2 linked regions of the Nothobranchius furzeri genome follow. Each later gene encodes a partner of the first gene's protein in a complex. Links are inferred from orthologs where the notes say so. Each region holds a gene or a part of one and is shown on either strand. Other genes may lie near its edges.

What was found. The genes of interacting proteins can lie anywhere in the genome.
Region 2: the proteins of agk (region 1) and timm29 are in contact, whole or in part, in a cryo-EM structure (PDB 7CGP), measured with the Homo sapiens proteins. The link is inferred for Nothobranchius furzeri from reciprocal best matches to the Homo sapiens genes AGK and TIMM29. Residues at the interface, in NP_060708.1 of Homo sapiens: His33, Asn36, Arg39, Arg40, Cys43, Gln44, Gln47, Asn51, Lys82, Pro86, His89, Leu90; in NP_612367.1 of Homo sapiens: Tyr145, Gln146, Cys149, Arg150, Tyr151, Leu152, Gln153, Arg155.

What each region holds. Positions count from the first base shown.
Region 1 is NC_091744.1:88,194,907-88,199,153, reverse strand, and holds the start of agk (acylglycerol kinase, mitochondrial), read left to right. Parts: upstream 1-1,447; 5' UTR 1,448-1,950; coding exon 1,951-2,060; intron 2,061-2,132; coding exon 2,133-2,172; intron 2,173-2,269; coding exon 2,270-2,349; intron 2,350-2,435; coding exon 2,436-2,511; intron 2,512-2,581; coding exon 2,582-2,707; intron 2,708-2,809; coding exon 2,810-2,904; intron 2,905-3,026; coding exon 3,027-3,096; intron 3,097-3,221; coding exon 3,222-3,301; intron 3,302-3,382; coding exon 3,383-3,440; intron 3,441-3,701; coding exon 3,702-3,849; intron 3,850-3,936; coding exon 3,937-4,034; intron 4,035-4,120; coding exon 4,121-4,191; intron 4,192-4,247. Other genes in the region: nuclear pore complex protein Nup205, read right to left, coding at 1-53, 253-424, 573-755. UniProt on the Homo sapiens protein: Lipid kinase that can phosphorylate both monoacylglycerol and diacylglycerol to form lysophosphatidic acid (LPA) and phosphatidic acid (PA), respectively. Does not phosphorylate sphingosine. Phosphorylates ceramide.
Region 2 is NC_091758.1:12,736,166-12,740,121, forward strand, and holds the start of timm29 (mitochondrial import inner membrane translocase subunit Tim29), read left to right. Parts: upstream 1-1,156; 5' UTR 1,157-1,265; coding exon 1,266-1,371; intron 1,372-3,956. UniProt on the Homo sapiens protein: Component of the TIM22 complex, a complex that mediates the import and insertion of multi-pass transmembrane proteins into the mitochondrial inner membrane.

The DNA.
Region 1 (4,247 bases):
GACAGCCACTAGGCCTCGTGTCAGGCCTGGAAAATGGGGCTGTTGTTGTTGACCTGGTGGAACAAAAAAGTACACTCTGTTAATTATTTCATGACTGCCTTCATCTTTCCTTCCAAATCACACACTTGATTAAAAAAATAATATTTAGTAACAGGTAATGTGACTGTTTCTGCATTTCTACCAAAATTATGCAGTCACAAATTTCCCTTCAAAAATGTAACTTATAAGCTGGTTTTTAAGAGATCACTCTACCTGCCAAGAGAAGCTCCAAAGCTGCTAACTCTCCAATGTCAAACAGATCACTGAGGATAAAGGCCTCCGTCAGGAGCGTCTCTGGAAGAAGACGTGAACCCTGATGTCCTTGAATGGCGATGCCTTCTGTGCTGGCCTTGCGTACTTTTTCCCTCTGCTCTGCACTCTTTGGCTAAAAATATTGGGAAAATCATGTGTTTGAAAAAGCTATGTCTCAATATAAATCTATACATTGGGTAACAACAACAAATGTAAAGGTTAAAAGAACATTTCTCAAACATTTAATTTGAATAACTTCAACAAGAGAGCTGTTATCTCACCACATTCTTAAAGAGTGACATAAAATGTGGTTTGTGTTTCTTCAGTTGCAGATCCAGAAGGTGGACAGTTTCTGGCTGTCTCTTCAGTATAGCTCCATCTACTGTCTCCCATAGCTCCTTCAGTGGCCCCCACAGACTGGCTCCTGAACGAATTAGTTTATAATATATGCAGGCAAAAAACATGGATTTCTGCGTGCAAGTTTCTTATAACCGTACTCGTTCGCAACATTAGACAGACAGACAGACAGATAGCCTAGCCTTGCAAAAGTGATGAAATTACTTTCACATAAAATGCGCAAAAAATCTACACGATGAGTTAACGCGCGCACTCACAATGGTAGCATATTAATGTGACCAACATCATTTATTTACTCCTCACTGACGAAAACAATCATCAACTTTTGTAGTTTCAGTTTTATTTCCAAGTAGTGGGCAAATACGTCAACTGAACCCGCTAACAATTGTAGGGACATATTTATATATGGTTGATATATATATATATAATTTCTAAATGTGCAATTCATATATTTTCGCGTATTTTGTTGTAGAAGTGAGGTCTGGTCAATGTGTCTACAACCAAAACAAGCTAATGCAACGTTTTTCAGCCATGAGTAAGGCTAGGCTAAAGTAGCCTAACAGCCCGTGTCATAACCTAAAAAGATCAACTGTGCAATTAAAACTACTAAATACCAATAAGCTACTCACAAGATTTAACACGTATGTCTTTATACGTGTGTTATGATTCAGGGTATATTGATAAAAAACGTCTCTCAGCATAAAAATGCTCAGAAATAAGAATTATTACCTGAATTTACCGCCATCGGCGCCGCCATGATCCACACAGACCGTTTTGGACAGCAGCTGTTAAGTTATTGCCGGTGTGAAATGCAAAAAATAATAAATACTTTATGAAAAGTTCCAAAATATATTTTCTCAGCTATTAAAAATAAACGTCAAATGTAAAATATAGTCACTTAATAAGTCATAGTAATTTCTTTAAAATGTGGTTTTAGTATAAAATTATCAGGCGAGGTCCTCGAAAGTTGAAGCTACCGGAAGTAAACTTTTCTTGCGTAGCCTGAAAAAATATTTGAGAAATAATTTAAATTTACTTAATGGTTGATTTTCTTTCTTCAAATAATATGATATGTTTATTTAGTTCAACACTAGATTTTTGCTAAAACATATTACCCATTACATTCTCCGTCAGAAAGGTCAGAAATAGTTCCGCCTTGTTTTGCTCCGTACTCTTTAAACGTAACACCACTATTTCCATGCAGCATTATTCTGTGACCGCTCTGGTAGAAATTTGTGATTTTCAGTTATTTGTTCCACTATAAATTCTGTACATTAATAAGACAGGGGTCTCTGAAGTGTTATGGCTCGGGTAGTAAAAGTGTTTCGGACTCTTCGAAATCACTGGAAAAAATCAACATTAGCTGTGTGCGTCCTTTCTTATGGTGGATATTGGCTGTATGGTAAACACTGGTGAGTTTATTAGATTTTTTTACTCGCATTAAGTTTGTTTGCCACTCAAAAATCTTGTACCTTGTATTTTAGTGAAAGCGTTGTGCGCAGAGAGGCTTGTCAAATTGCCAGGGTAAAGTATAACTTCATTTTTTATTGCCCTCAAAACAATTAGAATCAAAATAGCAGTTTACTTCATTTTAATTGTAATTCTAAGTATCATTACTTAGGAATTTGGACGTCAGCAAATAGCACCACACGAAGGTCTGAAAAAAGCAACAGTGATTTTGAATCCTGCAGCATCTAATGGGTAAAAACTTATAAAAGTCACATATCTGTATTATCAGCACAGTCTTTCCCAAAACAAACACTTTCCCTTTCCCCAAATGTTTTCAGGAAAGCCAACAGCTTGTTTGAAAAGAATGCTGCCCCCATTTTACACCTGGCTGGAGTGGAAATTACAGTAGTCAAGGTATAAATAAATGAACCATTGATCATAAGGATTGGCATAAACCGAGTGTTACACCAGTCTTTTTCCACAGACAGACTATGAAGGTCAAGCAAAGAAACTGTTGGAGCTCATGGAACTGACAGACATGTTGATCGTGGCTGGAGGAGATGGGACGTTACAGGAGGTCGTCACAGGTTTACTGCGAAGACCGGATCAAGCAAGTGTAGCATAATTCTGGTTATCTGTTATGTTGTGTTACACCTTTATTAAAAGCTATTATCAAGTAGAAAGTGCACAACAGGTTTATTTTTGACAACAGGAAACCTTCAGTAACACACCAATCGGATTCATTCCTCTGGGTTCTAATAATTCCTTAAGTCCAAGTCTTCATTTTCTCAGTGACGACAAAGTCAAGTAAGTAATACGAGTAAAAAAGCCTGAATAGCTGAGACAAGTATGTGATATCATGTATTTATGGCCTTTCGTTTGACGAATGGATTTCCTTGTGTGAGTTTTACATTGTGTTGAATATTCAGGAATATCACATCAGCCACACTGTCCATTCTGAAAGGAGAAACGGTTCCTCTGGATGTGCTACAAATCAAAGTAAGAGATGGTTTACACAGAATAGCATAACAATCATGTCTCCGATGCCGATTTCAGGGGTTCATTAACTATACAAGTGTACCGAAGTCATATGATGGATGTGTTGCATTTGTGTTTGTCTGCAGGGAGAGAAAGAGCAGCCCGTCTTTGCTCTGGTTGGATTGCGTTGGGGTGCTTTTAGAGATGTAGCTGCAAGAATTAGCAAGTAAATTCACCCAGATGGTGACAAAGATTGTGTATTTCATATTTGATGAGACCGTCTTACAGTTGTATTTGGCCCACACAGATATTGGTATCTTGGACCACTGAAGGCAAATGCAGCACACTGGCTTCACACTCTGAAGGTGAGAAAGATCCTGCAGGCTAATCTGCACAAAGGAATATAAACTTGATTTTGCAATGTCATCTCACTGGTGTAGCTTTTCTTTTAATGTACATGTGTAAAGTCAATGTTTTGGTTATTTTCTAAGGAAATATGTCAGTTTTTCAGTATTTTTCTGATCATCGGAGCACTGAATCACTATTTCACATATTGTAGATGAGCCTTAGATATTTTATGTTCCTGTAAATCATAAACTTGGGTAATTTTCATAAATATTGTCTAGGAGTGGCCTCTGGTCCGAGACGTGTCCATTTTCTATCTGGCTCCCACGCCGCGGCCCCCTGACCTGCCCTCTCAGAAGCCCGCCAGGCCGAACCTGCTTCGCCGCATCGTCTGCAGACTGAAGAACTACTGGAACCCGCCGGTTAAAGGTGAGTGTTTGTTACTATTCTGAAAGTCCAGCACTAGAACACAACAATCTTATTTTAATCTTTGTTTTTGGTCTTTTCTTTGCTCAGAACCTCCTAAAGTGGAAGAGCCAGAGAAGTGGGAAGAGCAGCAGCTGTCTACATTGGAGCTTTATATTCAAACCCACAACAAAAACCCAGTGGAGCGGGTCAGTGATCTTCAAAAGCCTTGCTGCTACATACTCTGTTTACCATCAGATCTCATCTTTGTCCATGTGTTTGTTTGTATTTGTAGCGCATAAACGACTCTCTGTTGATCTGCGCGGAGCCCAACAACTTCACCGTTGGCGAGTTCATCGCTGCAGGGTCACTAGCTCCTCTTTGATTATTCTTTTATGCTTCAGAGGCCTTAAAATCAGTTA
Region 2 (3,956 bases), on another chromosome or scaffold:
ACTCCTGTTTACCTTCCCTAGCCTTGCAATAGAGTTCATCCAAAGCACTCAGCTCATGCTAAATAACCATCCTGTGGAGACTCAACCAGATTTTTCAGTGGAATCATTTTAACAGCTTAAAGAAACATCCTTTTAAATCAATCAATTATTACCTGCTCAATCCACCACCTACTCATCAGACATGAAACCGTCTGTCAGAAGCCACCTGGGAAGTATCTTTTCGACCAGTCGTGCGTGTTCTGAGGAGGCCCTACGACCTTCAGACACTTCAGAAGTCCACTCACTCGCTCTGCAGAGACAGCTTCACTTGCAGAGAACTTCTACTGTCCTGGTGTGTAAGGTAGGCTATTCAATGGCGTCAGAGAGGCTGATATTAATTTACTAACTTGTTAAATTACATCAAACAGCCAGATTTATTTTATAAACCCAGACATCACACCTGTCTGAGCCCCTTAGTGAAGCTCTTACAAGGTCATGTTTCATCAGAGTTCCTTCATTGTCTCATTTAATATCACTTTGAATCACCATTTACAATAATTTGTCTTTCATCATCATTGATAATAGAAATATAGTAATAAATTGATTTTTATAAACTATATTATTACCTCTGTGTCAAATTATTAACGTGTTGTTTCCCTGGCATACCCAAAGTACCTGGTTTCATCATTAATCGAATATTAAAAGCTCAATAATATTGATAATCCAACTTTTTATGCACGATTACATTTTATTGAATACATTTATATTCTATGACAATTTATTAAAAGTAACCACTTACAAAAACGTTGCAGTATACTACATTGGGCAGGTGGAAATGATGTAAAGTCATAGAATCTCTAATATAATAACATCTGTAATATTTAGATTCATCACATCCACTTAACTTTTGGAGATTTTAAATGTTTGCCTAAGAAATAAGCTTTCACATCACCCATGTCTCTCTCTCTTTCACACACACACACACACACACACACACACACACACACACACACACACACACACACACACACACACACACACACACACACACACACACACACACACAGTGGGCTATTTTAGGCTGAAAGACTTCTGACTCATAATTTGTTTCTTCTTTCTTTGTTGACTTCCGTAAAAGTCCTGCCAAGCGGAACGCTTAAAGCTCTAGTTTTCCTGTCGGAGGGCTAAAGCCGAGACACCAATGGTCGCCATTTTGGCTCCATGTGAGCTCCAGCACAGAGCTCCAGCGGACGTCGAGGCGCTGAAGGTGATCGTTTCCAGCAGCGATGGCTTCGCTACGGTCTGCTAGGAGGATGTTTTGTGCTGCGGCGCAAACGGGAGCTGTTTCCGTCCCAGCTGGCCGCTGGGAGAAACTAAAAACCAGTAAAGCGGGTGAGTTTCGTGGGGGGAAGCCAGCTTATGCCCGGATAATGAAGCAATTCACTTGAGATGAAATGGGTTAATTTATCGGCGCGGATGAGACGTATCTGCGCTGGAGGCTTACCTAGCTAGACATATTTAGTTTAGTGTGGTTTTTGTCTCTTTGTGGAACACTTTTCTCCATGATTATCATTTTTTATGCTTGTTTTTTAGGGGAAGAGGGTAAAATTAGACGTTTTGTGTGTATGATGTAGAGTTTTTCTAGTCAGAATGAGGGGAAGTTAAACTACCACTTCAAACAATTGGGTTCAGTTTACTGACCTGACCAGGTGCCTCAGACCTGACCCAGTGCCTCAGACCTGACCCAGTGCCTCAGACCTGACCAGACCCGGTGCCTCAGACCTGACCCGGTGCCTCAGACCTGACCCGGTGCCTCAGACCTGACCCAGTGCCTCAGACCTGACCCAGTGCCTCAGACCTGACCCGGTGCCTCAGACCTGACCCAGTGCCTCAGACCTGACCCGGTGCCTCAGACCTGACCTGACCAGGCGCCTCAGACCTGACCCGGTGCCTCAGACCTGACCCAGTGCCTCAGACCTGACCCGGTGCCTCAGACCTGACCCAGTGCCTCAGACCTGACCCGGTGCCTCAGACCTGACCTGACCAGGCGCCTCAGACCGGTGTTCTGATAAAACGTCCTACTTTGACAAAACGTCCTACCCGTAGGATAATTTTACGGTGTCCTCTGATAAAACGTCCTACTTTGACAAAACGTCCTACTGTACGTAATTTATGCACATTTCTGCTGCCAAACAATAATTCCAGCACAAATTTAAGTAGGTATGACAGTTTACCACTTAACTTTGCCAGAGTATGTTTGTAGCTGATTTTCATAAAGCCAGTACGGTTTCACACTTCTTTTTACCCATTAAAGTGTGCTTGTAGGTCATATTCACAAAGGTAGCATGCTTTGGCACGTAATTTTTATGCTTCTAGTTTATAATAACAAAGGTAGCATGTTTTGGCACGTAATTCTTATGCTTGTAGTTTATAATAACAAAGATAGCATGGTTTGGCACTTGTTTGTAGAAGCAGTCTGCATGCCAAGGTGCTTAAGTTATACAGCTGTCACCATTGAAGTGATTGGAACACCTGACTATATAAACTTTGACAATGAACTCACTCCATTATAGTTACAGTATATATTTACTGAATATATTTACAGATACATATATTTGACATTTATAGATCCAACAGAACACAGGGACAAAGAACTGAAAAAGAAATTTAATGTCAACTGTCATACCAAACCAGTAAAATCTGGAACACACTGCATTTAGCGTTTTGTGTGTGCCAGTGTGTCCTCGGATTGGAGATGAATGAAACTCATGAAAAATCTTCCTGGCATCAGCCATGGTTTTTACTACTCTTCTGGTTCCAACAAAGAGTTCTTCATCTGCAGTAAAACAATATATATTTAGAATTTAATGTAACCACATATATGAGTTGTTAGGATTAACAATAAATTACTGACCCTTTTGTTTGAATTTTGAGGCATATCTTCTGAGGTTTTGCCTCTGAGCCTTGTCATATCCTGAAGGGTAGGAGCTCGCAGAAATGAATGTGTAAATCTCTTCCCACTTCTTCTCCATATCTATGAATGTAAGTAGACATTTTCTTCTGAGCTTCAATATGTGCAGTTAACAATGCAAATAATTTAACTTATTAAATAGCGACATTACCGAAACAGCCTTAAAACACCGAAGCTGCGGATTCAGAAGTGTTGTCCAAATACCACATGTCCAGTAACCACAGCAGACTTAACCAAAGCTGCAAATTCGACAGTTTTGTGCAGAAAGCAGATAGCGACTTTACTTTAATATTGACAAACAATCACAAAGTCTTAAATAAATCAATAAAAAGTACTAATACTTAACTACTTACCTATTTTCCTGCAAATCTGACAACGGAGTAGCATGAAATCACAGCCGGATACATTTTGCTTCCCTTTTTGTGTTGTGCGCATGCGCAGGAACGACGGGTAGGACGGTTTACGGGGTAGGAGGAATTCCCGGAACACCGGCCCAGTTCCTCAGACCTGACCAGGTGCCTCAGACCTGACCTGACCAGGTGCCTCAGACCTGACCAAGCGCCTCAGACCTGACCAGGTGCCTCAGACCTGACCTGACCAGGTGCCTCAGACCTGACCAGGCGCCTCAGACCTGACCAGGTGCCTCAGACCTGACCCGGTGCCTCAGACCTGACCCGACCAGGCGCCTCAGACCTGACCTGACCAGGCGCCTCAGACCGGCCCAGTTCCTCAGACCTGACCAGGTGCCTCAGACCTGACCTGACCAGGTGCCTCAGACCTGACCAGGCGCCTCAGACCTGACCAGGCGCCTCAGACCTGACTCGGTGCCTCAGACCTGACCCGGTGCCTCAGACCTGACCAGGTGCCTCAGACCTGACCCGGTGCCTCAGACCTGACCTGACCAGGTGCCTCAGACCTGACCCGGTGCCTCAGACCTGACCTGACCAGGTGCCTCAGACCTGACCAGGCGCCTCAGACCTGACCAGGTGCCTCAGACCTGACCCGG